Diceros bicornis minor: one gene and its partners. The protein of the gene in region 3 binds, or shares a complex with, the protein of the main gene of each other region. Links are inferred from orthologs where the notes say so. Each region holds a gene or a part of one and is shown on either strand. Other genes may lie near its edges. The genes, in order: CAMSAP1, MATCAP1 and tubulin alpha-1B chain.

What was found.
Region 1: the proteins of tubulin alpha-1B chain (region 3) and CAMSAP1 are in contact, whole or in part, in a cryo-EM structure (PDB 6QUS), measured with the Homo sapiens proteins. The link is inferred for Diceros bicornis minor from reciprocal best matches to the Homo sapiens genes TUBA1B and CAMSAP1. Residues at the interface, in NP_006073.2 of Homo sapiens: Lys112, Glu113, Asp116, Val409, Gly410, Glu411, Gly412, Glu415; in NP_056262.3 of Homo sapiens: Ser1471, Ser1472, Lys1473, Lys1557, Ile1568, Pro1569, Ala1570, Ser1574, Val1575, Ser1576.
Region 2: the proteins of tubulin alpha-1B chain (region 3) and MATCAP1 are in contact, whole or in part, in a cryo-EM structure (PDB 7Z6S), measured with the Homo sapiens proteins. The link is inferred for Diceros bicornis minor from reciprocal best matches to the Homo sapiens genes TUBA1B and MATCAP1. Residues at the interface, in NP_006073.2 of Homo sapiens: Asp345, Trp346, Arg422, Glu423, Ala426, Ala427, Glu429, Lys430, Asp431, Glu433, Glu434, Val435, Gly436, Val437, Asp438, Ser439, Val440, Glu441; in NP_001035805.1 of Homo sapiens: Lys219, Cys220, Trp223, Val226, Arg227, Gly237, Glu238, Val239, Val240, Val241, Gln242, Leu243, Met253, Met254, Val255, Glu256, Asn257, Ser258, Arg259, Pro260, Thr261.

Annotation. Positions count from the first base shown.
Region 1 is NC_080767.1:42,863,995-42,873,789, reverse strand, and holds the start of CAMSAP1 (calmodulin-regulated spectrin-associated protein 1), read right to left. Parts: upstream 4,219-9,795; 5' UTR 3,968-4,218; coding exon 3,808-3,967; intron 1-3,807. UniProt on the Homo sapiens protein: Key microtubule-organizing protein that specifically binds the minus-end of non-centrosomal microtubules and regulates their dynamics and organization. Specifically recognizes growing microtubule minus-ends and stabilizes microtubules.
Region 2 is NC_080771.1:19,067,714-19,077,197, forward strand, and holds the start of MATCAP1 (microtubule-associated tyrosine carboxypeptidase 1), read right to left. Parts: upstream 3,880-9,484; 5' UTR 3,791-3,879; intron 3,734-3,790; exon of another isoform or gene 3,290-3,733; intron 3,282-3,289; exon of another isoform or gene 3,169-3,281; intron 2,397-3,168; exon of another isoform or gene 1,915-2,396; intron 1,005-1,914; 5' UTR 950-1,004; coding exon 380-949; intron 298-379; coding exon 154-297; intron 1-153. Other genes in the region: EXOC3L1 (exocyst complex component 3-like protein), read right to left, coding at 4,390-4,579, 4,676-4,800, 4,892-5,047, 5,131-5,253, 5,375-5,504, 6,554-6,664, 6,875-6,975, 7,074-7,199 and 3 more. UniProt on the Homo sapiens protein: Tyrosine carboxypeptidase that removes the C-terminal tyrosine residue of alpha-tubulin, thereby regulating microtubule dynamics and function. Also able to remove the C-terminal phenylalanine residue of alpha-tubulin TUBA8.
Region 3 is NC_080756.1:20,529,225-20,539,450, reverse strand, and holds tubulin alpha-1B chain, read right to left. Parts: upstream 4,552-10,226; 5' UTR 4,448-4,551; coding exon 4,445-4,447; intron 3,045-4,444; coding exon 2,822-3,044; intron 2,680-2,821; coding exon 2,531-2,679; intron 1,858-2,530; coding exon 877-1,857; 3' UTR 696-876; downstream 1-695. UniProt on the Homo sapiens protein: Tubulin is the major constituent of microtubules, protein filaments consisting of alpha- and beta-tubulin heterodimers. Microtubules grow by the addition of GTP-tubulin dimers to the microtubule end, where a stabilizing cap forms.

The DNA of each region.
Region 1 (9,795 bases), on a different chromosome or scaffold from region 3:
ATACAATCTAAATTCACAAACCAATAATCTGAACAAATCACCACATAAAAAAACTTGATGGTATGCTTATGAATGAGGGTCTCCCCACTACGACTTGCACAGAGGCTGTTCCCAACAGTCCAGGGACAAGAGCAGCAGCCAGGTTTCATTTCCAGTCCTGGGACCTGGAGAGGGGTTCCAAGCACTGGAATCATTTTAGCCAAATGTCACTACAACAAAGCAAGGCGGTGACCCTCTGGAGTTGACAACAAAGGGATTTTGCTCCTAATATCAATTAAGCAACAGAGTCCAAGCTATTCTTGTGGTCTAGACAATGAGACAGCTGGCCGGGGCTGGATTACAGATACCTCATCAATGACTGCACAGATTTCGCGTCCCACAACACAGTTTCCAAATCAGTAGTTTAATTACTCTAAGGAGAGAGGGAGAGGATGAGAGTGCTAATCCCTCACTAGCGGTGGGCTCTGGACAGCCTCGTGGTCTCTCTCCATCCCAGTTTGCTGCTACTAAAAAGAGAAGATTAACCTCGGTGGCCCCTACGGTCCCACCCAGTCCAGGGAAGCACAGCTCCATGGTGAGTTGTGGTGAGTCTCAACGTGGTTTCCAGGGCGCCTCAGAGGGTGAAACCACCACCACTGAGCTACATAGCAACATGCTTGCAAAGAGCTGAGTGCCTTCTAGTACTTTCCCTGGGTTGTTTTTTCAACACTGTCCTTGGGAGTTAACAAAAGCTATTACTCCCCCACTGTCTCCTGAAACCAAGGCCTAAATACCTTTAAGTTTCCTAAGCTCGTGGACTAAAATCAAAAGCCAGGAATGCAGCAGCCCCAGCCCAGCTCTATTCTGTAAAATAAATGGTACTTCAAGTCATTCCTTTAAAGTTTTTTACCAATTTATTACAATTGTCAATCAAAAGGACATCACAAAACATTCCAGCTAAGCAGACTCAACTGCTTCCCACACTTTTAAATTAATAACTTTCAACATGTCCAATATATTACTTCTAAAAAAACAATTAAAACACTATAAATGAAACAAGAGTTACCCCAAAAAGGGAGGGGCAGAATCTAAAAATAAAAACACAAGAGGGCCCACAGTTCTTGGCTGTGGCACCAGAGATGAAGAAAGTCGGAGGAAACGTTTCTGCATAACCATGTGCCACCACAAGGCCTGGCCAAGGGTGAGCTCTCCCCAGGCTCCTCACTCACTACAAACGGCAGCGGCCGGTGGCCCCGGGGACACGGAGAGTCCCAAAAGGCAAACGCAAACGAGAAGGCAGCCTCAGAGCACCTCGCCTGAGAGTGTCTGCATGCTTTCAATTCCTATACAAACAGAAAAGACTGTTCGGTTTCATTTAGCTACTTAATGAACAACTACAGAACAAGAAAAACATTTAGGCCACTTTCACCATCACACCCCTCAAAAACAATTTACAATTAAAGCGTGCAGACTGAAAGAATCATGTCTAATTAACTGAAAACTAAGCTGGAGAGGCACATGGAGATGTCCAAAAGGAGAAACAAAGAATAGGCCCCTGGATTAGGAAAAGAGTTTTGGGGTAAAAAATCTATATTATCCTACCCAAATCCCTCCCCACCCAGTCTCCTGCAAGACCAGACCCCCTGAGGGTAGCAGCGAAACTCCGCCAGGGCTGTGGACCCCACACACACACACACACACACACACACACACACACTGACGACACAGATGAAATCACTTCAGCTGAGTGGAGGTGAGTTTTTTTGGTCATCTGAATTGGGATCTCCTAAATATGTCAACTTAAAAAGAGATTCTCATCTAGAGCAAAACTACATCTGTGCCCTTCCCGAAACACAGCATAGAATGGAACAGCCTTCTCATTCAGCAACAATGAATGGAAAGCAGGCCTCCTAAAATCCGTGTGTGATGAGCACACTTCAGCCGAGGGATCGTGACCGACGGGCAACATGCAAGCCAGCCGCAGATCCTCAGACAGCATCCAGTCTCCTTCAGCTCCTGCTCACCTTCTGTTCTGTAAATACCTACCTTTAATCATTGAACACCCTAAAGCCTATTTTAATATCAGCTTTTGAATTAATTATCTGATGAGTCAACAAGTATCAAAGTGATCTGGTACTGGAAATAAAACTACACTAACCCAATACTAACCCTGAGAGGGATGCATATTTGTTTCCAGATAGCGGACAAATCCCACGCTGAATGCCAAAGCTAAATGTAACACAATAAAAATGCATTCACTTTGCTAAAGAAACTGGAAAGCAAATAACGAGACGGCTTTTTAGAAGTATTTGTGTCTATATAGCATTCATTACTAGAACCTTAGCTATTTCCATACATAAAATCTTAAAAATACACAGCAGTGTGAAACCTTGCACATGTGCCCCAGGAGCCGTGCCCAAGAACGCACTGTGCTTAAGAACACAGACCTGGAACCTGACCAGTGCCCACCAACAGTGAACAGGCCTCCAGCGAAACACCACACAGCAGTGAAAAAGCAAGGAGAGGAGTGGGAAGGAAGAAACTAGGAAGAATGTGGAATAAAGCAGTCTCAGCAGAGGACATAACTACCAAGGGCGCAAAAATAGGGAAAACTAAATACAGTTCAGTGATGTAAACACATGCGGTGAAATATAAAGAAAAGCAAACCAATCGCCAACGCAAGACATGAGGTTGGGACCCCGGCACACCCAGGGGACCCCACACGAGGTCAGGTCGCGTGCTTTTCCTTAAACTGACTGCCACATAACCCAGTGGCCGCTGCGGTGTTACTCTTTACACCTCACTCTAAAATTTTACATACACTTGTTAGCAATTCCATATTTCCCCCAAAATCATGTAAATTCGTGTACGCGACAATGTTTCCCCATCATACTATAGAGAAACTGAATCAAGTTCGCTGTAAAACTGGAAACTGCAAAATAAAGGAGAAAACTCGGGGTGCACACCATGAAATCAGCCTGCAATAGGGGACGCATCTAATCCCCGAGACCTGCAGAGCCAGTTTAGCCTCATGACTAACTGAGTCTGGCCATGACACAGGCCGCTCGGACCGGTGAGAGCCCGTCACAGGGGCACGCCTGCTCCGCGAGTTTTCAGACCCGGTCACCAGCCTCCCTCCTGAAAGGGTTCTCTCTCCACTTCAGTCTCACTCTGGAATCAGAAACGTCTTCCCCACAACGAAGGCAATTTTTAAAAACTGCTTCAAATGAAAAGAAAAAAGACTACGCAGTATTAACTCTTAATTTCGTACCTAAAACAAAACAGCTCAAGTTAATAAAGCAGGCCTCGGGAGCCAAGCGATTATGAGAATCACTTGGTCTGTGAAACGCCAAGAGCTGGAAACCGGCGAGTCTTAATCCACTAAGAATATCAGGCCTAATAAACTGGCTCCTAACAAGGCTACCTAGTTCTGCAGGACAGGCTCACCGAAGGTGGGCCCCGATCAAGACGGTGCAGCTGAGAAGCAACGACTCGTGGGGAACTCCACCGGCGAGCTCGGTGACAGTCGAGCCGGCCGGGCACCCAGGGTGTCACCGCGGACTCGCGCCCCGCCCGGCTCCGGGGGAGGTTCCCCGGGCCGGCCCCGCTGCACCTGCCGGAGGACTCCGGCGCCGACCCCCCACCCCGCTCGGTCGCACGCGGCCAGTCCACTCCGGACCTAACCCCACCACGCCCCGCACTGCCCGGGACCCTGCGCGGCGGGCGGCGCACAAAGGAGCCCCAGCCCGTGCGTCTCCGGCCTCAACTCGGCCCCCGACCCCGTCCGTCCCCCTCCCCCGGGCCGTGTCCTCCCCCGCCCCCGCCCACCGATGCCGTAGGCCTTGGCGCAGAGCCACTGCAGGTTGGCGGCGATCTTGGCGCGGGCCGGGTCGTAGCGGTCCAGCGGCACGATGTCCACGGCGCCGTCGGGCGCGGCCTCCATCCTCCGCCAGCCCTCGCCGGCCGCGCCGCCGCCCGCGTCCACCATCTGCACACAGAAAGGCCGCTGCAGCGCGGGCGGCGCCGGCGAGGCCGCAACAAAGGCGCCGCCCCCGCCGCGCCGGAGGGACCCGCGAGGGGCCGGCACCGACCGCGGCCGGCGCCCCCGCCCGCCCGGCCTCACCTCACAGCCGCCGCCGGCGCCGCCGCCGTGCGTGCTGCTGCCGCATGCTGCGGGGCCGGGCCCGGAGGCCGGGGCCCGGGAGGCCGGGGGCGGGGGGCGGCGAAGCGGGGACGCAGGCTGGTCCGCGGGCCGTGGCGGGGGGCGCGCGCGCGGAGCCGGGGGCGGCGGCGGCTGAGGAGGCGGCCAACCGGCGGGAGCGCGCGCACCGCTGAGGCCCTGCGCAGGCGCACTGGGCGCAGCCCGCCGCCCCTTGCCGGCCCGCGCTCGCTCCGCCCCTTTCCGCAGGCGCAGTGGGCGCAGCCTGTGGCCCCGCCCCCGGCCCGCGCTCGCCCCGCCCCTTCCCGCAGGCGCAGTGGGCGCTACCAGAGGACCCGCCCCTTCCCGCGGGCGCCGGGCGCGGGGTCGCGCGGGCTGACAGGCCCTGGCGGGGCCTGCTGCAGCCCTTTGTCTGGGCCGGGTCTCTTCCTGCTGGGACTGGGTCGTCCAGACCAGGGGACCCCAGCCGCCGCGCGACGGGGCCGAGCCCCTCGCGGAGGCCCTTGCGTGGGCCGACTGCGACCTCAAGAAGGCGACGGCCCCGGAGGGAGGGGGCGCTCGGAGCCTGGGGGACCCCCCCCCCCAAGCAGCCCTGGATTCCCCTTCCCGGAGAGCAGCGCTGGGAGGCCGGGGACCCCCCGCCCCCAGAGCAGCCCCGGGGATACTTCCCCTCCCCACTGCCCCCAGCAGCGCCGGGAGCCCGGGACTCCCACACACACACACACAAAGGCCCTTGGTGCCTAGAGACCCCCTCAAAGTAGCACTGGGGGTGCCTCCCACCATAGTGGGGCTCGGAGCCCGGGGACCCCACCCCGAGAGCAGCCTCAGGAATACCTCCCCTCCCAGCCAGCAGCGCTGGCAGCGGGGCGCACCCCTTTCCCTGCAGGAGCACCTGTGCCGGTGCGCCCCCAGCAGGCACTAGCTGTGGTCTCCAGGGCACGGTCCCGGGAAGTGGGCTCTGGACACCTGAGATAAACTGCGCATCCTCAGCCCCCAGCGCAGCCGTGGGTATCGGCCTCAGGCACGTCCCCCAGAAGGGGCTGGCTTCGTCCTGATAAAGCCTGTGTTGGACTAATAATTATAGTAACACCGTGAAACCTCAGCGTGTGAAAGCTCGTGTGTCCCGGTGCTCGGCTGAGGACCTCAAAGCTGAGCTGACAGAGGGCTGCTGGCTTCTGTGCCACGCACTGGGGTCCAGAAATCCAAGGCCTTGAGGAAAGCGGGAAGAAACAGTTTCCTATGAATAAGGTGTCCTGGGAGTGACGGCCAGGATGGCTCCCAACCTCACTTCACCGGCCGTGCTAAGCCGGAAAGAAAACCCAGGTTGTCAGGTGATGTAAGCTCAAGGACCCAGCCGGTCGTTCAACAAACACTTATTCATGTGCAGGCATGAGCCTCACTCTGGCTCACAGCAGAGAGCAAAACACAAATCCCCACCTGCCTTCGGGGAGCTGAGGTCTAGTGAGGAGGGAACATGACTGCATGTGTGGTAGGTGAGGCAGTGAGCAGCGCTGGGGCCGCCATCAAGGAAAACTAAGGGGGCCTTTGAGCAAAGACCTGCAGGGAGCCAGGGGCAAGCAGGAGCTTGTCTGGGGAAGTGTGTTCTGGGCAGGGGTGTAGGAGTGCCGGGTACGTAAGAGACAGGGAGGCCACTGCATCCAGAACCAGGCATGGAGAGACACTGGCAGGAAAGGGGCGCGGGGGTGGCAAATCTTGTAAGAACTGTGGCCTCCTCTCTGAGTGAGATGGGAAGCCATAGAGGGCCTTTGAGCACAGGCAGGAAGGATGTGACTGACCCTTTACAGGGAACATTCTGGTTCCTGGGAGCAGAATAGAAGGTAGGAAGGGCAAGGAAGGAAGCAGGGAGACCAACCTCTGACAGGTGGGATGTGGAGTGCTCGAGAAAGCAACAGGTCAAGGGCGACTCCAAGGGGTTTTTATCTTAATCTTGTGTCCTGCAACCTTGCTGAACCCATTTATTAGTTCTTACAGTTTTTTAGTGGATTTTCTACATATAAGATCATGACATCTGTGAAGAGAGACAGTTGTACCTCTTCCTCCTCAATCTGGATGCCTTTTATTTCTCCAGTACAATGTTATTTGACATTGTATTCAGAAGTAGTAGAGCAGATGTCCTTGTCTTGTTTCTGCTCTTAGGAGAAAAGCATTCAGACTTTCACCACTAACATATGATGTTAAATGTGGATTTTTCGTATTTATCAGGCTGAGGGAGTTCCGTTCTATTCCTGTGTCGTCGAGTGTTTTTATCAAGAAAGGGTGTTGGGTTTTGTCAAACTTTTTTTGTGTGACTTTTTTTGTAACTATTGAGATAATCACTTGGGGTATTTTTACTCATTCTATTAATGTGGTGTATTACATTGATTGATTTTTGGATATTGAACCAGCCTTGCATTCCTGGGATAAATCCCACTTGATCATAGAGTATAAAGTGTTTTTCAAGTTTGGCAAATCATTTTTTTTTTGTGAGCTTTATTGAGATATAACTGACATATAATATCGTGTAAGTTTAAGGTATACAATGTGATGATTTGGTACGTGTATAGGTATATACTGTGAAACGATTATCACAATAAGGTTAGTTAACACATCCATCACCTCACCTACTTACCTTTTCGTGTGCACGTGTGTTGCAAACATTTAAGATCTACTGTCATAGAGACTTTCAAGTATGCAATACAGTATTGTTGACTATAGTCAGCATGCTGTACATTATTACATCCTCAGAACATATTCATTTTATACCTGTAAATTTGTACCTTTTAACCAAAATCTCCCCATTCCTCCCACCCAACCCCTGCCAACCACCAATCTACTCTTTGTTTCTATGAGTTTGGTTTTTTAGATTCCACGTATAAGTGAGATCACACAGTATTTGTCTTTCTCTGATTTATTTAACTTAGCATAATGCCCTATTCATCCATGTTGTCACAAATGGCAAGATTTCCTTCTTTTTTATGGCTATACTAATATTTCATTGTATATATAGACCACATTTCCTTTATCCATTCATCCATCGAGGGACACTTAGGTTGCTTCCATGTCTTGGCTGTTGTGACTAATGTTGCAGTGAACATGGGGGTGCAGATATCTCTTTGAGATAGTGATTTCATGTCCTTTGGATATATACACAGAAGTGGGAGTGCTGGATCATATGGTAGTTGTAGTTTTAATTTTTTGAAGAACCTCCATACTGTTTTCCAAAGTGGCTGTACCAATTTCCATTCCTATCAACAGCGCATGAGGGTTCTCTTTTCTCCACATCTTTGCCAATACTTGTTATCTCCTGTCTTTTTGATGATAGCCATTCAAACAGCTAGAGGTGGTATTTCATTGTGGTTTTGATTTGCATTTCCTTGATGATTAGTGCTGTTGAGCACCTTTTCACGTGCCTGTTGGCCATCTGTATGTCTTCTTTGGAAAAATGTCTGTTCAGATCGTTTGCCCATTTTTTTAAATTGGACTTTTGTTTTTGATATTGACTTGTATGAGTTCTTTATATATTTTGGATATTAACCCCTTATCAGGTATATGATTTGCAAATATTTTCTCTCGTTCTGTAAGTTGCCTTTTCACTTTGTTGATTGTTTCTTTGACTGTGCAGAAGCTTTTTAGCTTGATGTAGTCCCAATTGTTGTTTTTGCTTTTGTTGCTTGTGCTTTTGGTGTCATATCCAAAAAATCACTGCCAAGACCAATGTCAAAAAGGTTTCCCCTATGTTTTCTTCTCGGAATTTTATGGTTTTGCACATTTAAGCCTTTAATCTATTTTGAGTTAATTTTTGTGAGTGGTGTAAGATGGGGGTCCATTCTTTTGCATATGAGTATTCAGTTTTCCCAACACCGTTTATTGAAGAGACTGTCCTTTCTGCATTGAGTATTAGTTGACCATATATACGTGGGTTTACTTCTGGGCTCTTGATTCTCTTGCATTTGTCTTTGTGTCTGTTTTTATGCCAGTGCCATACTGTTTTGATTTCTATAGCTTTGTAATATAGTTTGTTTTTATATTTTATATTTACATTTATTTTATTATTTATATTATTATATTTTATATTTATATTTATTATAATATTATTACTTTATATTGTATTTTATATTTACATGTTTTTATATAGTTTGTTTTTATATAGTTTGATTTCTATAGTTTTGTAATATAGTTTGTGCTATAGTGTTTGTAATATAGGAAGTTTGATGACTCTGGCTTTGTTCTTCTGTCTCGAGATTGCTTTGGCTATTTGGGGTCTTTTGTGGTTCCATATGAATTTTAGGATTATTTTTTCTCTGTGAAAAATGCCATTGGGATTTTGCTGGGGATTGCATTGAATCTATAGATGGCTTTGAGTAGGATGGACATTTTAACAATATTAATTCTTCTGATACATGAACACAGGATATCTTTCCATTTGTGTCTTCAATTTCTTTCATCAGTGTCTATATTTTTCAGTGTACAGATCTTTAACTGCCTTAGTTAAATTTATTCCTAAGTATTTTATTATTTTTGATGCTACTGTAAATGGGGTTGTTTTCCTTATTTCTTTTTTTAGATAGTTGGTTGTTAGTGTATTGAAATACAACTGCTTTTTGTATGTTGATTTTGTATCTTGCAAGTTTACTAAATTTTTTTTTTCTTTTCTTTTTTTTTTTTGTGAGGAGGACCAGCCCTGAGCTAACCTCCGATGCCAATCCTCTTCTTTTTTTTGCTGAGGAAGACTGGCCCTGGTCTAACAGACGTGCCCATCTTCCTCTACTTTATATGGGATGCTGCCACAGCATGGCTTAACAAGCAGTGTGTCGGTGCGCGCCTGGGACCTGAACCGGCGAACCCTGTGCCGCCGCAGCGGAGCACGCGCACTTAACCGCTTGTGCCACCAGTCCGGCCCCCTGCAACTTTACTAAATTTGTTAGTTCTAACAGTTTTTTGGTGGCATCTTTAGGATTTTCTATACATCAGGTCATGTCATCTGCAGAGACAATTTTACTTTTTCCTTTCCTATTTGTATGTCTTTTACTTCATTTTCTTGCCTGATTGTTCTGGCTAGAACTTCCAGGACTATATTGAACAGGAGTGGTGAGAGTGGGCGCCTTTGTCTTGTTTCTGATCTTAGCTTCTGATGTTAGCTGTGTTTATCATATATGGCCTTTATTATGTTGAGGTACATTCCTTCTCTATCCAATTTGTTGAGAGTTTTTGTCATGAAAGGATGTTGAATTTTGTCAAATGCTTTTTCTGCATCTATTGAGATGATTATATGCTTTTTATTATTAATGTGGTTATCACATTTATTGATTTACATATGTTGAACCATCCTTGCATCTCAGAGATGAATCCCACTTGATGATGATGATGTGTGATCCTTTAATGTGCTGTTGAATTCAGTTTGTCTTTTGTTGAGGTTTTTTTTTTTCCTTTTTTTTTTGAGAAAAATTGGCCCTGCACTAACATCTGCTGCCCATCTTCCTCTTTTTTAAATTTTTTCTCCTCAAAGCCCCAGTACGTACAGTTGTGTATCATAGTTGCAGAGTTGTAGCTCTTCTATATGGGATGCTGCCTCAGCATGGCTTGATGAGCGGTGAGTAGGTCCACGCCCAGGATCCGAACCAGTGAACCCCAGGCCACTGAAGTGGAATGCATGAACT
Region 2 (9,484 bases), on a different chromosome or scaffold from region 3:
ACCCTGCTAGAGCCAGTTCCCATCTCACTGGGACAAGGACAGGGGGTTGCCTGGGGTCACTAGCTGGCCAGGTGTGGAGCTGGGCCTGGCACCACCCACTCAGCAGCCTGGTATGGGGCATGAAGAGGGGCCTCACAGGCAGGGCAAGCTCACCTCCCCGACGCAGCCCTCCTTCTGCATGTACTTGCGCACAATGGACCATATCTGGCACTTGGTCAGCAGCTGGCCCCCGGTTGCAGCCTCAAAGTGTTCATAGGTACCGAACTTCTCCAGGACAGCCTCAATGATGCCAACTGCCTGTACACAGGGCCACAGTGGCTGGTCAGGCCAGGCCTCTTGGGTGGACAGAGCCAAGGTGAGGTGGGCAGGCTGGACTGACCTGATGGATGAACTGTCCAGAGGCCTCACAGTACTTCTCCAGCACAGCCGTGGGCATGGGCTCCTGGTACTCGAACTGTGGGTTGTAGGTGTAATGGGACTGGAAGAACTTGTCCCGCTCACGGTCCATGTTGGTTGGCCGCAGGGCCACCAACATGCAGGGGCTCCTGCTGGCACCACGGCCTGCATCTTTTCGAGTCTTAGCAATGTGAGGCAGGGAGGCCGCAGACCGCAGGGTGCCCCCACCTGGGCCCTGTCCCCGTCTAGGTGGGGCCCGACCCTGGGTGCCCGCCCCCCGCCGGCCAGTACTATTTACGGTGTAGGTGCTCTCACTGCGACGCATGTGGCCACGGTGGCCCAAGTGCAGCTCTGAGAAGGGCTGCAGCTCAGGCCGGGGCCGCAGGCCTGAGGGGACTGACAGAGCCAGGGGCAAGGCCAGGGATGGAGGCCAGGGGTACAGCGGCGTCCCATCTCGGTCTGAGGGCTTCAGAATATGGTCCAAGGATGAGGGACTGGCTGGTGGGCTGGGGGGTGCCTGCTGATACACCTGAGCCCCTGAGTCCAGCACCATTCTGTCCTGGGGGTCACATCCAGCCGGTCACTCCAACTCCCCACACTGTCGGCTTCTGGGGACACAGAAGGACATGGGGAGGCCAACATGAGTGGGTGTGGCCTGAGGACCAAGAGGCCTCGTGTGCCACACTGCCCTTGCTGGGCCCTTGCTGGGCCCATGGCCCGCCTCCAGGGGTCTCGGTGGCTGCCCCCTCACCTCTACCCCAGTGTCCATTCCCTCCAGCAGGTTCACCCAAGCAAGCTGGACTGGAGTAAAGCAGGAGGATGAGTCTTATACATCCACCGAGATGGTGGTTACTGGAATCCCCTTAGCCTGTGAGCTCCTGAGAGCAAGGCCTGAGCCCCTACTCGTGATTCTAATCCCTGTGCCCACCCAGACTGGGAGCTGGTATAGTGTAGCCTCAGCTGCCAGGATGATGGGTGAGGGGGCCTCACTACCTTCTACCTGCCTTCTACCTATGGCATTTTCACAGTCTCACTCCTCCCCTCCCACCTGGCTCCACCCACCTCTTCCAGCCCATTTGGCCTCAGTCATTTTGAAAGCCTGACTGCCCCTTGCTTATGCTAGTTCCTCCACCTGGAATGCTCTCTCTCCTCTGGGCCATCTATTCAAATCCAAATTAAAATCTGGTTTTGGGGAGCAGGGAAACTTCAGCAAATCCAAGCCAATCCCTGGTCTGTCCCCTATCAGAGGCATCTTTCTAGTGGTCATCTAAGGGCGGTGTCAGGACACTCACCCTTGACTCTGTACCTGGGCTGAGTCCAATCCAGCCTCTCCCCAGAGACTGACAGAAGACTCCAGCCTCCAAACTCCCTTGCCTCCTCAGGGACACAATTCCAGCATTTCCCCTCTCTCTTATGTCTCCCACATCATCAGTCTCTTCCTCTCTACTGGATTCTATCCATCAGCATAAGCACATGTTGTTATTTCTCCATCTCAAAAAAGCAAAACAAAACCCTCACTTGACTCCACGCTCCTTCAGATCCACTGCCTCTCCCTCCAGCTGCTCCTTGTTGCAGCACACCTCGAGTCATCAACAATCTCCAATGCCTTCTTTCCTGTTCTCTCTCAAATTCCCCTCCAATTAGGCTTTTGTCCCCCACTCTCCATCGAAACTGATCTGACCAAAGTCACCAATGATCTTCATATTGATCAATAGCACCTGACACAGTTAATCACTTCATCCTAGAAACACACTCTCCACCTGGCTTCTCAAATACACTCAAACATAGTTCCCCTCCTACCACACTCGGTGTTCGTTCTTGGTCTTCCTGCTTTCCGACCTCCTGACACTGTGATGCCCTAAGACATGAAAACTTCTATGGAAACTTCTCCATTTATGCTCACTGCCTAGCTGATCTCATCCACTCTCATGGTTTTAAAATCTTCAGCCCTGGGGCGGCCCCGTGGCTTGGCGGTTAAGTGCGCGCGCTCTGCTGCTGGCGGCCCGGGTTCGGATCCCGGGCACGCACCGACGCACCACTTCTCCGGCCATGCTGAGGTCGCGTCCCACATGCAGCAACTAGAAGGATGTGCAGCTGTGACATACAACTATCTACTGGGGCTTTGGAGGGAAAAAATAAATAAATAAATAAAAATTAAAAAAAAAAAATCTTCAGCCCAGACTTCTTCCATAAACTTCAGACCAGTGTTGCCAGTTCTCAATTCAACATCTTTACCTGAATGTACAGCAAGCATCTCAAACTGAACATGTCCCCTGTCAGGAATGTTTCCCCCCCATAAAACTGCAGGGGTCGCTCTCTCACTTTCCTCAGATTTCTGCACAAATATGTTATTAGAGAATCCTCCCTAACACACTCTCTATAAACTAGTAAACCTCCCCTGCCCCACATTATTGCTCTCTCTGGCAGTTATCACCATCTGAAGTACAGTATATTTAATGGTTAGTTATCTGTTTTCCACTTTTTAGTGTTCAAAGCTGTGTCCCCAGAACTCAGAACACTACCTGGCCCAGAACAGTTGCTTAATAAAATGAATGAACCCAGGAGCCCTCCTCTGTCTCAGAACTGGAATCATTCCTCCCCTGCCCTGTTTCCCCATGTAGATCCAATCCCCTCTCCCCCATCTCCCTCCACTCTGCCTAGTGATGAGCTGCAGGCTTCACTCCCCTCAACTAACAGCAAACTTTTCTGGACCCTCTCTGGTCTCCAAGCCTCTACCTGGACCAGCATCTCCCCTTCTTTCTTTCGACCTACCTCTTTGCAATTACTAGAGTATGCCTGTTTCTTTCACGTCTCAGGTCCTTCTGCCAAGAATGTCCTCCCACTGTCTCCCTGGAGCAAACTCTTAACCATTAGTGCTCGGTTTAGGCCTCACCTCCTCCAGGAAGGCTTCCCGATGTCTTAGAGGCTCCTAGTGCCTAGGTGGCTTCTTTACCGCCCTAGGCTGTCACTATCAGAGCCTAGGTCCGTGTCCCCCTACCATGCCCTGAACTCCCTGCGAGCAAAGACAGGTCTGATTCACCCTCATGTCCCAAGCACCCAGCACTAGACGCAGAATGAATGCAAGATGGTTGGGGGAGGAGCCCAGACTGAAGGCGGAGTCTAGTGAAAGATGAGAGGGTGTGGCCTGCGCCAATGAGAAACTCCGGGAGAGGATAACGTGGAAGAGGAGCCAATGGGGACGGGGAGCTCGAGGAGGGGCGTGACCTGCAGCCGATTAGTGGTGGGCAATGGGGCAAAGGGCGTGCCCAATGGAGGGAGGGGCCAGAGGACAATAGAAGGGGGTTTCCTAGCAGATGAGGAGGGGTCGCGTCGCGCGCCTTCTCGGCCTCTCGGGGGTGGGGGTGGGGATTCCGTCCGCGTGCCGCGCCGCTACCTGTTCGCTCCCCTTCTTGCCACCGCGGTTCCCGCTCCGCAACACCAGTAGCCAGCCGCCCAGCCCGGGGGAGCCGACGCTGGTGACGCAAGTACTCGGGCGCGCGCACGCTCACACGAAGGCTCGCGGATTCGCGTCAATCTCCGCGGCGGCGATCGCCCCAGAACATAGCTGGGGTGGGGCCAGGCAGAGCAGAGGGGGCGGTGTCCGCCAACAGGTCACGCCCCTGGGCGGGGCGTTGTCTTAAGTCCGCCCCCTTCACGAGGGTCAGGCGTGTTTCAGGGCTTCGGGTGCTACTCGGTCATCCGAGTCAGGGCCGAGGAGACCGGAGCTCACTGCCCCGGCGCGGATACGTGGGAGCGTAGTGTGCGTACTGGGGCAGAAGCCCGGGTACTTGGGAACGCAGTCCACACACAAAGGTGATGCCGGAATAGGTGGGGCGCACGCCGTATATCAGGATTGTAGCCAGGATACCTGAGGCATGTCACTGTGCGTAGACCCCCTAACCTTCACGGGCACTTTTATTTCATGCCCCCTTCCCCAACACACATAATTCAGGCGTAGGGGAGCTGAGGCTTTATTCTGCGGAAAGCCAGGTGTCACGCACAGGGCCTCGAGGGGAGGCAGGAGGACGGCGCGGGCGTAGGGGCTGGCACGAGGCTGAAGAGTGCTCGACGACCCACTGGGGGCGAGGGCTGTGGGCCAGCCTGCAGGGAGCTGAGTGCGGCCAGGCGCTGCTCTCGGGACACGTCTCCGCGCAGGTCCAAGAGGGCAGAGACGTGATCTTCGCTAGGGGGCACCACGGAGGTGAGTCAGCCCCGCCCCGCCCCCCCAAGTCCCTCCTCCCTTTCTGCCCCATCCCTCTCCCCCACCCAGTCTTCGCACCTCACATCGGGAAATTGTTGCCGCAGGCCTGCCACCTCGAGGCCAAGCAGCATGGGGTCGCGGAGATTCAGCAGCTCCCGCAGGGCGAGCAGCACCGGCGCGCACTGAACGCTCTCCTCCAGGCCCTGAGCACGTGGGGATAGGTCTCTCGCCGGCCCTCGGCCCCCACCCAACCACTGAGATTCCCGCCTATCTGCTCGCCCAACGAGCTCTCACCAAACCGAGGAAAAGCTCTTGAAGCTGGGCGGCATCGTGCCTTAGGCGCTCGGCCGCCTGGGTCCGCTCCTCGGCGCCGCGGCACACTAGGCGGCCCTGCATCAGCGCGCGTAGGTACTGCAGCACCACAGTACGCTCCACCTCGGCCAGCAGCAGCTGCGGGGAGAGCGATCAAATGCGTCCAGGATGGCTTTTTCATGGGCGCTTTCCCGCTCCCCAGCCTTTCCCCCCAAACTCACCTGGACCGCGGGATTCCGCACGCGCCAGAAGTCCCGGCAGAAGCGCGCCGTCCGCTCACACACATCGTCCAGCAGCTCCGAGCTCGACAGCCACCGACGCGAGGGCAGAGCCTCGAACAGGGGCTAGAGGAGGGGGGACAAAGACGGGGCTAGAGGGACGATCCAGACCCGGCATTCCCCGCAGAGACCCCCATACATACGCTATATCTCCTCCTGCCACCCCCATCCCCACCTGAAGCCTCACCTGGAGCTCCACTAGCAGCGCCTCCAACACCAGGCGGCAGATCCTCCTCTGCAACTCGTCCAGCGCTGCCTCCACCGGAGCCAGGGCCCCTGAAGCCTCCCCGTTGGGCTGCAGGACGGACACGGAGGAGCTGGACCGACCAAAAGTACAGCTTCAGGACCAAGGCCAAGGCCCACACGGCCCTCGGTTGTCTAGCCACTCCAGCGCCACCTAGTGGCGCAAGTGTGTGGCGGGAGGGGGCAAGAAAGGCGGCTCCCGGCACTTCTGAAGGCCTGGGTCGTCGACTGAGGCTGGGAGTGGTGGGCTCAGCGAGCTAGAAGGGACACAGCCTAGCCGGACCTGCCTCTAATTCGCAGTGTGACCTTGAGCAAATCATATCTTTTGGTTTCTGTTTCTATAAGGGGAGAGAGTTAATCACTGGCAAGAGGGAGTAAAAATCATCATTAACTTGTTTGTCCTCTCTGCCCCCATTCCAAAGAACATAAGACCCAAAAGGAAGGGAATTTTTGTTGTTGTTGTTTTGTGAAGATCAGCCCTGAGCTAACATCCACGCTAATCCTCCTCTTTTTGCTGAGGAAGACCAGCTCTGAGCTAACATCTATCGCCAATCCTCCTCCTTTTTTTTTCCCCAAAGCCCCAGTAGATAGTTGTATATCATAGTTGCACATCCTTCTAGTTGCTGTATGTGGGACGTGGCCTCAGCGTGGCTGGAGAAGCGGTGCGTCGTTGCGCACCCGGGATCCGAACCCGGGCTGCCAGTAGCCGAGCACTCGCACTTAACCGCTAAGCCACGGGGCCAGCCCAGGAATTTTTTTTCTTTGTTCACAGCTGTAACCCCAGACATTACCTGGCACAGAGTAGGGCATTGGTAAGTATTGTTGAATGAATGAATAATGACTATGTGCCAGGCACTGTGGTAAGTACTTCACACTTGTTATATCATGTGATTCTCAGAACATCCCCTTATTACCCGTACAATACTTATGAGAAAAGCAAGATTCAGAGAGATTAGGTAACTCGCTCAAGGTCACCCAGATAGTAATTAGTAGAACTAGGATTGGACCCCCAGGGCTACATGAGTCCAAAATTCCTAATGGCCTAATGTGGGCTGAGTCCATACCTAATAGGTGTTCAGTTAGGGGTTAGTGAAGGTGGGGTTCAGTGGGGGCCTCCTGGTACCTGAGTGCTGATTGGTGGTTGAGGGTGGCCAGTAGGTAGGGTACATAGTGAGGGGCCATTGCTTCCCCCCTGAGGTGGTCTCGCGAGAATCGGATCAGAGCATCACTGAAGCTGCAAAGGGCAGAGGTGGCTCCTGTACCTGCTGTCACTGTGGTGCTCCCACAACCCCAGTCTCTGCTACTCCAGCCCCACCTCCAAGATACCCAAGGCCCTGTTTTGGAGGATCCATTTCCCACTGGTGTGCCTTATTCACTCGCAGCCCCTTTGAGCTGCCCCAGGAGTAGGGCCAGGGGTTAGGAGTAGGTCAGTGCCATGGCAGACCTCCTCAGAAATGTGCCCAGTTCTGACAGTGCCATGCCATGCACCCGCTGCTGCAGCGACTCACTGACCAGGCTCGTTACACGAATGTTCTCTTCCAGGATCTACAGGCAGGGATGGGCAGCCATCAGCAGAGTCTTAACCCTGCCCTCCTCCCCTTCCTTAAGGGGGCTGCCCACCTGCCTCACCACTTCCCACCCACCTGCAGCACAATGGCCGGCATTGGTGAGTGGTAGAAGCCAGACGTGTCTGTGTCAGGCTCTTGCTCTCGGCTCCACTCGGCTACCTCCCCATCCAGTGCTTTCTGCAGCCACTGGGCCACACTTGCCTAGGGGAAGGAGCAAGGGGCAGCAGGATGTAGCAGGACACTGATACTGCTAGAGACAGGTAGACATGTGACTCAACAGATACAGGCCCACAGCTGGTGGCAAAGCTTCTTTGGACCTGGCCCCAACTACTCACCTGGACTTTGGCCACAAATGTTGCCTCTAGATGTTCTATGTTCTCTGCGGTCAGGAGGGGTTCCAGCTGAGACACGTCAGCCTCAGGCCCCAACTCCAGGCACTCCAAGCTCCCCATCATTTCTGGCCTAGAGATGGATAGCCCAGTGTCATGCTGAACCCCCAGCCTCTGACCCACCCACTTCCCATTGCCCCAAGGGCACTGACCCCAGGTACACATGCAGTGCCCAATGCAGCAAGGTGAAGGCATCAGCAGCTCCCAGCTCAGGCCCTTCCAGGAGTTGCTGCAGGCAGTGGCGCAGGCCGCTGTGCAGGGTGTGGGCCCAGAGCTGGACCACCTTGTAGTGTGGTGGGCAGCAGGGTGCTACTAGTGCCTCAGCTGTGGCCAACTCGGCTGGTAGAGCCACCCGCAGAGCTTCCAGCCACCCTTCTAGGGCCCCAGGCCCAGGCAACAGTGTTCCAAAGTGGATCCGCTCCAGGCCTTCCTGTAGTGCCTGCAGACAGCGCTGCCGCCAGTCCCGAGGAGCCTGTTCCAGGGAGGTTGTATGCCCAGCATCCACCTCTGCCACGCGCACAGCAGCCACTAGCAGGGCTGGGTCCTCCCGTGCCAGCTGCCCCGCAGCCCCTGCAGCTGCCTCCACAGCCTGGCCCAATGCCTCAGCTAGATGGCCCAGCCCCTCGAAGACTGGCAGTTCCAGGCCCCCGAGAGGTGCCCAGGTCTCCTCTCGCAGCTGCTCCAGCTCCCGAAGGCTCACATATGCCTCCAAGAGCCGCTGGGCACTGATCAGGGTCTGTGTGTGGGCCACTGCAGCCGGCACTAAGGATGGAGGAAAGAAGACAGCACTGGGTCTCAGCCTTCTCACCTGTGTAATGGGTACAGCAGCAGATGCTGAGGCCCTGGGGCTGCGGTGATGTCTAAAATATTTAATAACCGGGGCCGGCCCCGTGGTGTAGCGGTTAAGTGCACGCACTCCGCTGCTGGCGGCCCAGGTTCGGATCCCGGGCGCGCACCGATGCACCACTTGTCAGGCCATGCTGTGGCGATGTCCCATATAAAGTGGAGGAAGACAAGCACGGATGTTAGCTCAGGGCCGGTCTTCCTCAGCAAAAAGAGGAGGATTGGCATGGATGTTAGCTCAGGGCTGATCTTCCTCACAAAAAATAAATAAATAAATAAATAAAATATTTAATAACTGGTACAGTAGAGCATTGGCCAATCTGAAAGGAGCCAGGGAAGGTCCTAGCAGCCTGGTGGGCCTGGTGTAAACCCTTGAGCTGATGGAACGTGAGGAAGTCAGGGATCCTGGAGGGAAGACAGGGAGGAACTGGGGGACCATGCTAGTGGCTATTCACCCACTCTTTTAGGGATATTTCAACATATTAACAATGAGGGTGTCCAGAGCTGCTTGACTGGGTGTCAGTCCTGACTCAGACATCCCATGCTTGGGAACCCCAGAATGAGCTGACTTGCACCCTGCTTCATATGCCATTTGAAGCCTAAGTTACTCTCTGGGAGGTCTGTGGTGTGTCCCTCCATGCAGTCTCTCACTAGTGCCCCCGCCCCTTGATTAGTGATGGGCATTTGTTGACTAAGTGTTGGAAGGCTGAGGCCCAGTGCCCCTGCACACTCACCTGCCTGCAGCCGGGGCAGCAGCTGAGACAGGGCCTGCAGTTGCTTGTGCTGGGCAACCCGCTCTCGCAGCGGCTCTAGGGTCTGTGTTGCCTCTGCCATGCCCCGGAGCAACCCGCGGGCCTGGCCCAGGGCCTCATGGACTCCCTGCACGGCCTCAAGGGCCCGAGCCAGCTGCCACACCCCAGTCTTCACGCCCTCCAGGTATGACTGCACCACCGACTGTGAGAGAGAGGCAGCCAGTGATGTCTGGCCAGCCCTGCAGCCCACCCCCAGCACTCCTGCCCCCTGCCTGCTGCCCACCTTGATGCGTGCTTCCAGGGAGCAGGTACGCTGCACCTCACGGCTGCGATATTGGCCCAGCCTGGCCAGCTGCTCCGGCCGGTAGAAGATGCCCGAAGCCCACTTGAGTGCTGCGCCTCGGGCCAGCCGCTCCGCCCTCTCCTGCTCCGGCCACTCAGGCCCTGGGCAGGAAGAGCCTGGGCAGCCACGTCAGTTGGGCAGGGCCTGCAGGAAGTGGCC
Region 3 (10,226 bases):
TATATACTTGAAAGAATGTAAACTATGCCAAGTGCTATTAATTGTAAACTCTTATCCTTTACAAATGCTGCCACTTCACCCCCTTGTAAATTAAGCAGCACCATTCCATAAATGCATGTGGCTTATTCTTCCTGTTTTTCTTAGTATAATTTTGATCACCAGCAATTCAGATCCTGCAATTTTTTCTCATCCCATTATAGGACTGGAAACACAATTTTTACCTCACCATGCTGAAATATTCCTTTAACCAGCTGTTTTCCTGTTCAAGGGTCATTTTGAGATTTTTTAAGTTAATTGATAAATTAGTAGGTCCCTTTAAACAGCAGTCACATTATTTGCAGGATATTCAAAACTACTTACTTCTTATACCTAACTCATTAGTAATGACTTAATAATCTCAAGAGCTAGATTAGCAGGATGATTTTTTCAGTACATCATTTTTCCAAGCCCTCTCTGACCTGGATTCTAACACTGGTTGAGGTGATTTTAACAGAACAGTGTCAGAATCCAGTGCATACTTTTTCAGACCAGTGTGCTCCTTCTTCCCCATACAGGTAGCTAGATAGAAAGTGAGGTCCTTGCTATCACCCACTGCCCTGTTGCAGACTTTATCCTGCAGACTTTATCCTCTAGAAATAATTAGTAATACATCTTGCATTGGAGAAATCAATTTAGAAAAAGCACAGAAGTCAAACTTTCTTTCTTAAAGCCTTTACTTTGAGACATAATGGAAAAATCTTACACGTACACATGGAAAAGCAAAACATGATCACAGTTAAAAGCGAAGACAATTTAACCAGATAGCTTTAACGCCTGTCAGCTAACGTTGAAGCTGAAATTGAGTATGACATGCTGCAGTGCTGAAGGGAGTGCTAATTAGTATTCCTCTCCTTCTTCCTCACCTTCTCCTTCAACAGAATCTACACCAACCTCCTCATAATCCTTCTCAAGGGCAGCCATGTCCTCACGGGCCTCAGAAAACTCTCCTTCCTCCATGCCCTCACCCACGTACCAGTGAACAAAGGCACGCTTGGCATACATCAGATCAAACTTGTGGTCCAGGCGAGCCCAGGCCTCAGCAATGGCTGTGGTATTGCTCAACATGCACACAGCCCGCTGTACTTTGGCCAGATCTCCACCAGGTACCACAGTGGGAGGCTGGTAATTAATGCCAACTTTGAAGCCAGTGGGGCACCAATCCACAAACTGGATGCTGCGCTTGGTCTTAATGGTGGCAATGGCAGCATTGACATCTTTGGGAACCACATCACCACGGTACAACAGGCAACAAGCCATGTATTTACCATGACGAGGGTCACATTTCACCATCTGGTTCGCTGGCTCAAAGCAAGCATTGGTGATCTCTGCTACAGAAAGCTGTTCATGGTAGGCTTTCTCAGCAGAGATGACAGGGGCATATGTGGCCAGAGGGAAGTGGATGCGGGGATAGGGCACCAGGTTGGTCTGGAATTCTGTCAGATCAACATTCAGGGCTCCATCAAATCTGAGGGAAGCAGTGATGGAAGACACAATCTGGCTAATAAGGCGGTTAAGGTTAGTGTAGGTTGGGCGCTCAATATCGAGGTTCCTACGACAGATGTCATAGATGGCCTCATTGTCTACCATGAAGGCACAATCGGAGTGCTCCAGGGTGGTGTGGGTGGTGAGGATGGAGTTGTAGGGCTCAACTACAGCTGTGGAAACCTGGGGGGCTGGGTAAATGGAGAACTCCAGCTTGGACTTCTTGCCATAATCGACAGAGAGACGCTCCATCAGCAGGGAGGTGAACCCAGAACCAGTTCCCCCACCAAAGCTGTGGAAAACCAGGAAGCCCTGAAGACCTGTGCACTGGTCAGCCTGTTAGAAAAGAGGAAAGAGAAAACATAGTTATTGCTTTTTGTGATATAATCATAGTAAATCTATTTTCACTTTTCATACAATTCCAAGGATATAGCTCTTATTTTGACAAGAAACACTTGGAAAAAAATGTAGATGTTCCTGGAATCACTCAGCATTTCTTAATTAAAAAATATCTGTATTAATATTTACAAAATGACACCAAATAGTTCATGTTTTAATTGAGTTTTTTTAAAAACTATAAAAGAATAATTCCTCATTCATTATTACATTTCAATTCTGTGTTGAAAGGAGCCTATGTCATTTTTTGTTGTTGTTGTTTTTGTGAGGAAGATCAGCCCTGAGCTAACATCCATGCTAATCCTCCTCTTTTTGCTGAGGAAGACCGGCTCTGAGTTAACATCTATTGCCAATCCTCCTCCTTTATTTTTCCCCCCAAAGCCCCAGTGGATAGTTGTATGTCGTAGTTGCACATCCTTCTAGTTGCCGGATGTGAGATGCGGCCTCAGCATGGGGGCAGAAGCGGTGCGTCAGTGTGCGCCCAGGATCCGAACCTGGGCGGCCAGTAGCGGAGCACGCACTTAACCACTAAGCCACGGGGCCGGCCCAAGGAGCCTACTTCAAATGTCTTCCTTAGGCTCATTATTTACTTTATTCTTGAGCATAAACATACCAGTTTCCGAATTCGGTCCAAGACGAGGTCAATGATCTCCTTGCCAATGGTGTAGTGCCCACGGGCATAGTTATTGGCAGCATCTTCCTTGCCTGTGATGAGCTGCTCAGGGTGGAAGAGCTGGCGGTAGGTGCCAGTGCGAACCTCATCTGGAAAAGGAAGACAAAGCAGCCACCCATCACTAACCACCTGCACAAGCCTGCTCAACCCCAGGGCATCAGCGGAGCCCCCAGGACAGACCTCCTGTCCCAGACCCCTGGGATCTCACTCAGGTTAGTGTGGTCAACTCACCAATGACTGTGGGTTCCAGGTCTACAAACACTGCCCTGGGCACATGCTTGCCAGCACCCGTCTCACTGAAGAAGGTGTTGAAGGAGTCATCTCCTCCCCCAATGGTCTTGTCACTTGGCATCTGGCCATCGGGCTGGATGCCGTGTTCCAGGCAGTAGAGCTCCCAGCAGGCATTGCCGATCTGGACACCAGCCTGGCCAACGTGGATGGAGATGCACTCACGCTGTGGAAAAGGAAGGAAAAAAACAAAATTCAGGGTTAAACTTATCTAGCAGTGACTATGAAGCAGAACAAAATACTTATGGAATCTTAATCTTACAAATTTCCTCTTTTAAAATGAATTAAAATATAATACTCTTTTCCTAGGGGAGAACTGCTATCTTTCTGATCTACACTGCTTTTACTGAATTTTTTCCACTTCTAAATTGCCAAGGCCTCTTTCTAGGGCAAGAAGAGAGCTTAGTCACAGCTTCCTCCTTTGGAGGATCAAGATAGGGTGGAAGCCATCCATCCAGTGCTCAGGCCCCAGAATCCCATTTTAGACTAGGTGGCCAGATTTCCGGGCAGCTACCAGCACAGGAAGCACGTGTCCAGAGCAGAGGAAATGTCTGGCCGCAGGGACCAGGGGCGGGGCTCTGCGGCACTGGATGAATGAGCAATTCAGGGGCACGCGCCCGCGCCCCCACCCTGGCCGGCGGGGCCGCGCAGCTGCAGAGGCACGCAGCAGCCACGTCTGCAGAGGCGCTGCCATGGCCAACCATCCTCCATTCCCCGCAGGCGTTGGGCTCAGCCCAACACCTCCACATCTGTCAGGGCGCAGCAGGGGATTATCAGCGGCCCAGATCTGGACCAAGATCCGATTTCCATTCCCTCAAAATCCTCACCGCCACCACCTGCTCCCACACACATTCCTAACGCAACAAAGAGGCCAAGGAGGGACAGATGGCCTCTACAGGCTGTTGGGAACTAATTGTCCTAATACACTGGCGTAGTGCAGTACACTGACAAGGAGCCCTTCTCCACATTCATCTTAGTGCTTCCATTTAAAAAAAAAGAAAACTCGGTAACAGGAGCCGCGCCCTCTAGCCATAGACCCGCAGCGCCCCAGCGCGCACGCGCAGACTGCAGTGGCGGTCTCCCGCCGCTCTCTGGCGGGAAGGTAACGGTCGCGCCTGCGCTTTTGTGTCCTGCCCCTTCCCGCCTCCGCTTTCTAGCTGAGGAGGAAGTGAGGGCGGGGAGAGCCCGCGCGCGCCCGCCAAAGGCGGGGGAAGGATGGGGGGATGGGAATGCGCGGGAAAAGACTGTCGAGTCTGGGGGCGCCGCGCTCATCAATTAAGGGCTAAATGAGAGCCTTAACCACGGCGGAGGGCAGCCCGCACCCCGCCATCCCCTCCCAGAGTCCGAGAAGAAAACGCGGTGGCCGCCCTCTTTCCGAGCCTCAGCCGTTCTCCACGAACCGGGGTCTATCTACTCCCGCCCTCTCCTCTCGCCTCGCTTCTTGCCCTCCAGATGGCCAGCGCTGGTCCCGGCCCTCTCCAACTAGAGGCCCTCCGCGACGCCTCTCCCCGGCTCGCTCTTCCCCATTTTCCCGAGCAAGGGCGGCGCCGCGTGCGGCCCACTCACCATGGTGGCTACGGGTTAGCAGGCGACAGGAATAGACACCGGGTCCCGGTTACCGTCCCCGACAAGCTAAGAGTCGAGGTAAGTAACGCACTGAGGCTGGGGCGGCGCCGGAGCCACTTAAGTAGCGGTCCGGGGGGGGGCGGCGGGCACAGGCGGCGCCACGGCCGCGGGCCCCTCCCCCGGCCCGGCGCGTCCACTCGGCGCCCGGCTCGGTCGCCGCAGAGGCGGGCTCTCCGCCCGGGGTCCCCTGCCCGCGCCTGCGGGCCGCGAGCTCGGGTGCTGCAGTCTGCGGCGCATGGCTGCCAGGGCCTGGGCGGGGGGCGGGCGCAGGGCCGGAAACAAGCCGGCAGGGGAATGGGTAAGGAGGCTTGCCTTAATTTGGACGAACCCTAAGACTTAAGAAATCCATACAGTTTTAAAGATGAAGCACCATGAAATGCAGAAACTTCTGGTCCGGATAGCTCAGCTGATAATTTTCATGTTGCCACAATTTGTCAGTGAGTTGTGCCTTTTTCTTTTCTCAGTTCCTTTAAAGGCAGTGCATTCTGTACTTACCTGACAATGTGGAGGACGTGAGGTTTAGAAAATGGAATAGTTTTATTTGGTTTACTGTAATGACTTGCTATTTGTTGGCAGCAAATAATATTTCAGTCAAAGAGTAGTACCTGAGCATTGAACATCGAATCTGTTAAAAGGGCAGAGTATTTGTAAACAGCATAGTTTGGCCTTGCTTTTTAAAATCCAATCTGACAATCTCTGCCTTTTAATTGGGGTGATCAAACCATTTACATTTAATGTGATTAATGATGTGGTTGAGTTTGCCTCTACCATCTTGCTATTTGTTTCTGTTGTTTACATTTTCCACCCCCAGGCTTCGCCTGGGTTCCCCTCTCTGCATTGCAGTGTAAAACCTCTTCAGACAGAAAGCTGGCGTAATCATAGGGCTCGCCTCATTTGTTCCCCTTCTCTCAGGCATCAATGTCTTGTACTGCTTGATGCACAATGTATAAAAACTGCTGTTCCTAGACAAATACTGTATGATTCCACTTATATAAAGTACTTAGAGTAGTCAAAATCATAGAGACAAAGTAAAATTGTGGTTGCAAGGGGCTGGGGGAGGGGAGAATGGGAAGTTAGTTTTTAATAGGTATATAGTTTCAGTTTTACAAGATGAAAAGAGTTATGGGGATGGATTGTGGTGATAGTTGCACAACATTATTAATATATTTAATACCACTCAACTGTACACTTAAAAATGGTTAAGATGCTAAATTTTATGTTATGTGTATTTTTATCATATTTTTAAAAAATGGAAAGAAAAGAAAGGCAGAGTAGGCCCCATTTTTAGACCTAAACCACCGACTTTGTGGAATAGCTCTAGGGGCTTTTAAAAAGGGAGATTTAAAGACACATTTCAAATTTGGTAGCTGAATTGAAGAAGAGATGATAGAAACTTGGGTAGGGAGGAAATTGTTTGACACTGAAGGCTATTAGGAAGTAGGAGTTCCTTGTGTAATTTAGAGTTTTGTAAAACTCTTTATATAATAATAACTGCTTTCTGCTATGTCATGATAGATCAGTTACAGCTTAGTGCTAAGAGGCCCAGATTATAGTGAATAGACTTTTTTTTTTTTCCTTTCGGGAGAATCTGGTCCAAGACCATAAACTACATTGTTAACCCTTAGAAATGCATTAGGTGGTTAGTTAGGGTTAAAATGTGGCTTTAAAATGGTCCTAGCAGAAACCTGTTGCTGTTACTGCACTATTCAAAATATCCTCCCAGTGATAGTGTATCAGTGTTACCTTATTCAGATTTGGTAAAGATGTCACCCATCATATCAGACAAATAACAAATTTAGACTGTTAATGTGTATGTGTAGTTTGTGAGAATATATATATAAGCTCCACTCGTATGAACCTGGAATGCAAACAAGGAGGTTCTTTATTTCTAATAAATATTTTTTGTAGTCCTGTTAAAAGGTTTTTGACTCAAAAACCAAATTTGCACACATTTCCCAAACTCGGTTATAGGAGAAAGGAATATATTTGAATGTTGTCTCACTTATTCTTAAAACGAGATGGAAAATAATTAGCTTGCCTTGACTGGAAGAATGAACGTTAGGGAGCCACCCAGCTGAACTCCATTTTGATGTCTGCTCTGGATGAAAGCCATTTGAAAGCAGGCACCTCCCTCTTCCTAGCTCTCTGCAGAACCATAGAGCTTTCACTGCAGAGATTTGCTCCTGTGGGTCTATATGTCTCCCCAGATACCTTCCTAAAACCATTAGCGTTGCTAGCCTTGTTATCTCTGAATTCCCCTGTTGTGAATGAGGAAGTACTTGAGGGTTTGTTTTTTTTTAGGTCCGTGATGATACCTTAGGTTTCAGAGAGTAATAGAGCCAAAAGGGACCTTTAAATATAATCTAGTCTGATATCTTTATGCCAGAAAAATATTGAATGATGCTAAATTAATTTATTTTGCTACCTCCCTAGTGCCTAAGAGGAAAGGCTTACATTTTTTTTCTTTTTTACCCATGCTAAACTTACATGAGTCTATTTGTTTACATTATATATGGATGTATACACTTTGTCTGTATTTAACAAATAATAATTATCTATTGCTAGAATATAAACCACTGTCTTCACATTTTAATTGATTATATAGGTCTTTCTTTTGTTGGACTGTTTCAGGGCCTCTAACTATTTGCTTTGAGTCTTTGATGTAGTGGAAAACCCTGTGTTGCTATTCGAGCCACTCTCATCTTTGCTACTTAATATCATGGCCATTTGCTACTGTTCTAAGCAATCAGTAACATTTTTGATAGTTCCATATTGTGGTTTAGACACAAAAGTTCACAAAATATTTTGTTCATTTGACCGTCTCAACACGGAAAGACAAAAATAACAAATAGCAACAATTTACCAAGCATCAACTATTTTCAAACATTTGGCCTTTTATTCTTATTTATTATAGTAGTATAAATTTATGTATGTCATTTTGTGTTCTGTTTTTCCAAAGAGAGATGGTATAAGGGAAAGAAAATGGGCTTTGATTTCAGATAGTATTGGATTCAGTTATAACTTTGTCAGTTAATAGTTGTATGACTTTAGAGCCTTAATTGTCTTTCTCCAGCTTCATTTATGAATGGGAATCAATATTAGCTTGGAATCCTCTTTTTCTCATACTGCTACATTCAATCCCATTTGTAAACTCTATCAGCTTTATCTTCAAAATATGCCCATCACTGGCCTTAGTAGGGAATCTGAAGAATGATCATATTTAAATTTTTTCCCCCCAAAGGCCCAATAGATAGTTGTATGTCATAGCTGCACATCCTTCTAGTTGCTGTATGTGGGACGTGGCCTCAACATGGCCGGAGAAGCAGTGCGTTGGTGCGCGCCCAGGATCCGAACCTGGGCTGCCAGCAGCAGAGCGTGCGCACTTGACCGCTAAGCCACAGGGCCGGCCCATTTTTTTTTTTCTTTTCTTTTTTTTGGTGAGGAAGATCAGCCCTGAGCTAACATCCATGCCGATCCTCCTCTTTTTGCTGAGGAAGACTGGCCCTGAGCTAACATCTATTGCCAATCCCCCTCCATTTTTTCCCCTTTTTCTCCCCAAAGCCCCAGTAGATAGTTGTATGTCATAGTTGCACATCCTTATAGTTGCTGTATGTGGGATGCCGCCTCAGCATGGCCGGACAAGTGGTGCGTCGGTGCGCGCCCGGGATCTGAACCCGGGCTGCCAGTAGTGGAGCGTGCGCACTTAACCGCTAAGCCACGGGGTGGCCCTGATCATATTTAAAGTAGAGAAAAGGAGCCTATAAAAGGAGTCTGAGAAGGAATGATCAGGGAGGGAGAACTGAGGGTCTCACAATCCAAGGAAAGACAGAGTTTCAAGAAGCAGAAGTGGTACAATGTCAAATGCTGCAGAGAGGTTAAGTAGTGTTAAGACTGGAAAGTGTCCATTGTATATAGATAACAATATGGCTTCTATTTTTATTTACTTATTGGACAAATATTTATTGAGACTCTACCATGGCAGGTACTCCTTTTAAGTGTTGATTAGATATAACAGTGAACAAAATACGTCCTTGCCCTCATGGAGTTTGTATTCTAGTGAAGGAGAAAGAAGATGAACATGTAGCAAAGAGATATGAAAAATAATGTCAGGTACTGAAAAGTATTATGAGGAAAAATAAAGTCTGGAAAACAGATTAAAGTTACAGAGGGGTGCTATTTTAGATAGATTGATCTGGGAAGGCCTCTCTGAGGAGGTAGTTATTTGAACAAAGACCTGAATGAGGGCCGGCCCCGTGGCTTAGCGGTTAAGTGCGCACATTCTGCTGCTGGCAGCCTGAGTTCGGATCCCAGGTGTGCACCGACGCACCGCTTCTCTGGCCATGCTGAGGCTGCATCCCACGTACAGCAGCTAGAAGGATGTGCAGCTATGACATACAACTATCTACTGGGGCTTTGGGGGGAAAAAAAAAAAAAAAAAGACCTGAATGAAGTGATAGAGTGGGCATTTCAAGCAGAGGGAACATCAAGTACAAAGGCTCAGAGGTCGAGGATGTATGTCTTTTTTAAGCAATATCAATAAAGTCAGTGGGACCAGAGCAGAGTAAGTGAGGGGGAGAGTGTTATGAAATGAGATCAGAGAAGTAGCCAGTGTCTAGATCATGAAAGGGTCTTTCTTATTAGCCGTGGAAAGACTGTGTTTTATTCTAAAAGTCATGGGAAGCCGTTACATAGTTTTGAGCAAAGATGTGACATATTCTATTTTAGATTTTAAAAGGATTGTTCTGGCTGCTGTGAGAATAAACCATAGGAGGTTAAGAGTGGAATAAGGAATATGAGTTGGAAGGGAATTGCAGTAATGCAGAGAGGAGGTGATAGTTGCTTGGAACATGGTGAACCAGTGGTGGAGGTGGTAAAAAGTGGTGGGTTTCTGGATATATTTTGAAGGTAGCATTGGATGTAGGGTGAGAAAGAAAGAGAAGAGTCAATTGTGACCCCAAGGTTTTTCGCTTGAGCAACACTGGGGGATACTGAAGGAGGAACAGATATAGGGAAATGGAGGGAATCAAAAATTCAGTTTTGGGGGCCGGCTCCATGGCATAGTGGTTAAGTGCGGGCGCTCCACTGCTGGCGGCCCGGGTTCGGATCCCGGGCGTGCACCGACGCACCGCTTGTCTGGCCATGCTGTGGCAGCGTCCCGCATAAAGTGGAGGAAGATAGGCACAGATGTTAGCTCAGGGCTGATCTTCCTCAGCAAAAAGAGGAGGATTGGCGTGGTTGTTAGCTCAGGGCTGATCTTCCTCACACACACACACAAAAATTCAGTTTTGGACGTGTTAAATTTGAGATGCAGTGTGAGACATCTAAGTAGAGATGATGATTAGGCAGTAAGCTAAAGTACAGAGAAGATGAATTGTGAGGATAAATTTAAATCCATAGAAACTAGATGAGATCACCTAGGAAGAAAGTGTAGATTAAAAGAGGTCCAAGGACTGAACCCTGGAGCATTTCAGCTTTTAAACATTAGGAAGAGGATCCTTCTTGAAAGTGAGAAGGACCAGCCAGTGGTGTAGGAAGAAAATCATGAAGAGTGTGGTGTTCTGGAAACCAAATGAAGAAAGTGTTTCAAGCAGGAGATAACTTTATCTGACAAAGATAACTTTGTCAGATTCTTCTGGGAGGCTAGCTAAGGTGAGGTCTGAGAACTGGCTATTAGATTTGGCAATATGGAGGTCCCTGGTGTCTTGGGCAAGAGTGCCTTCAG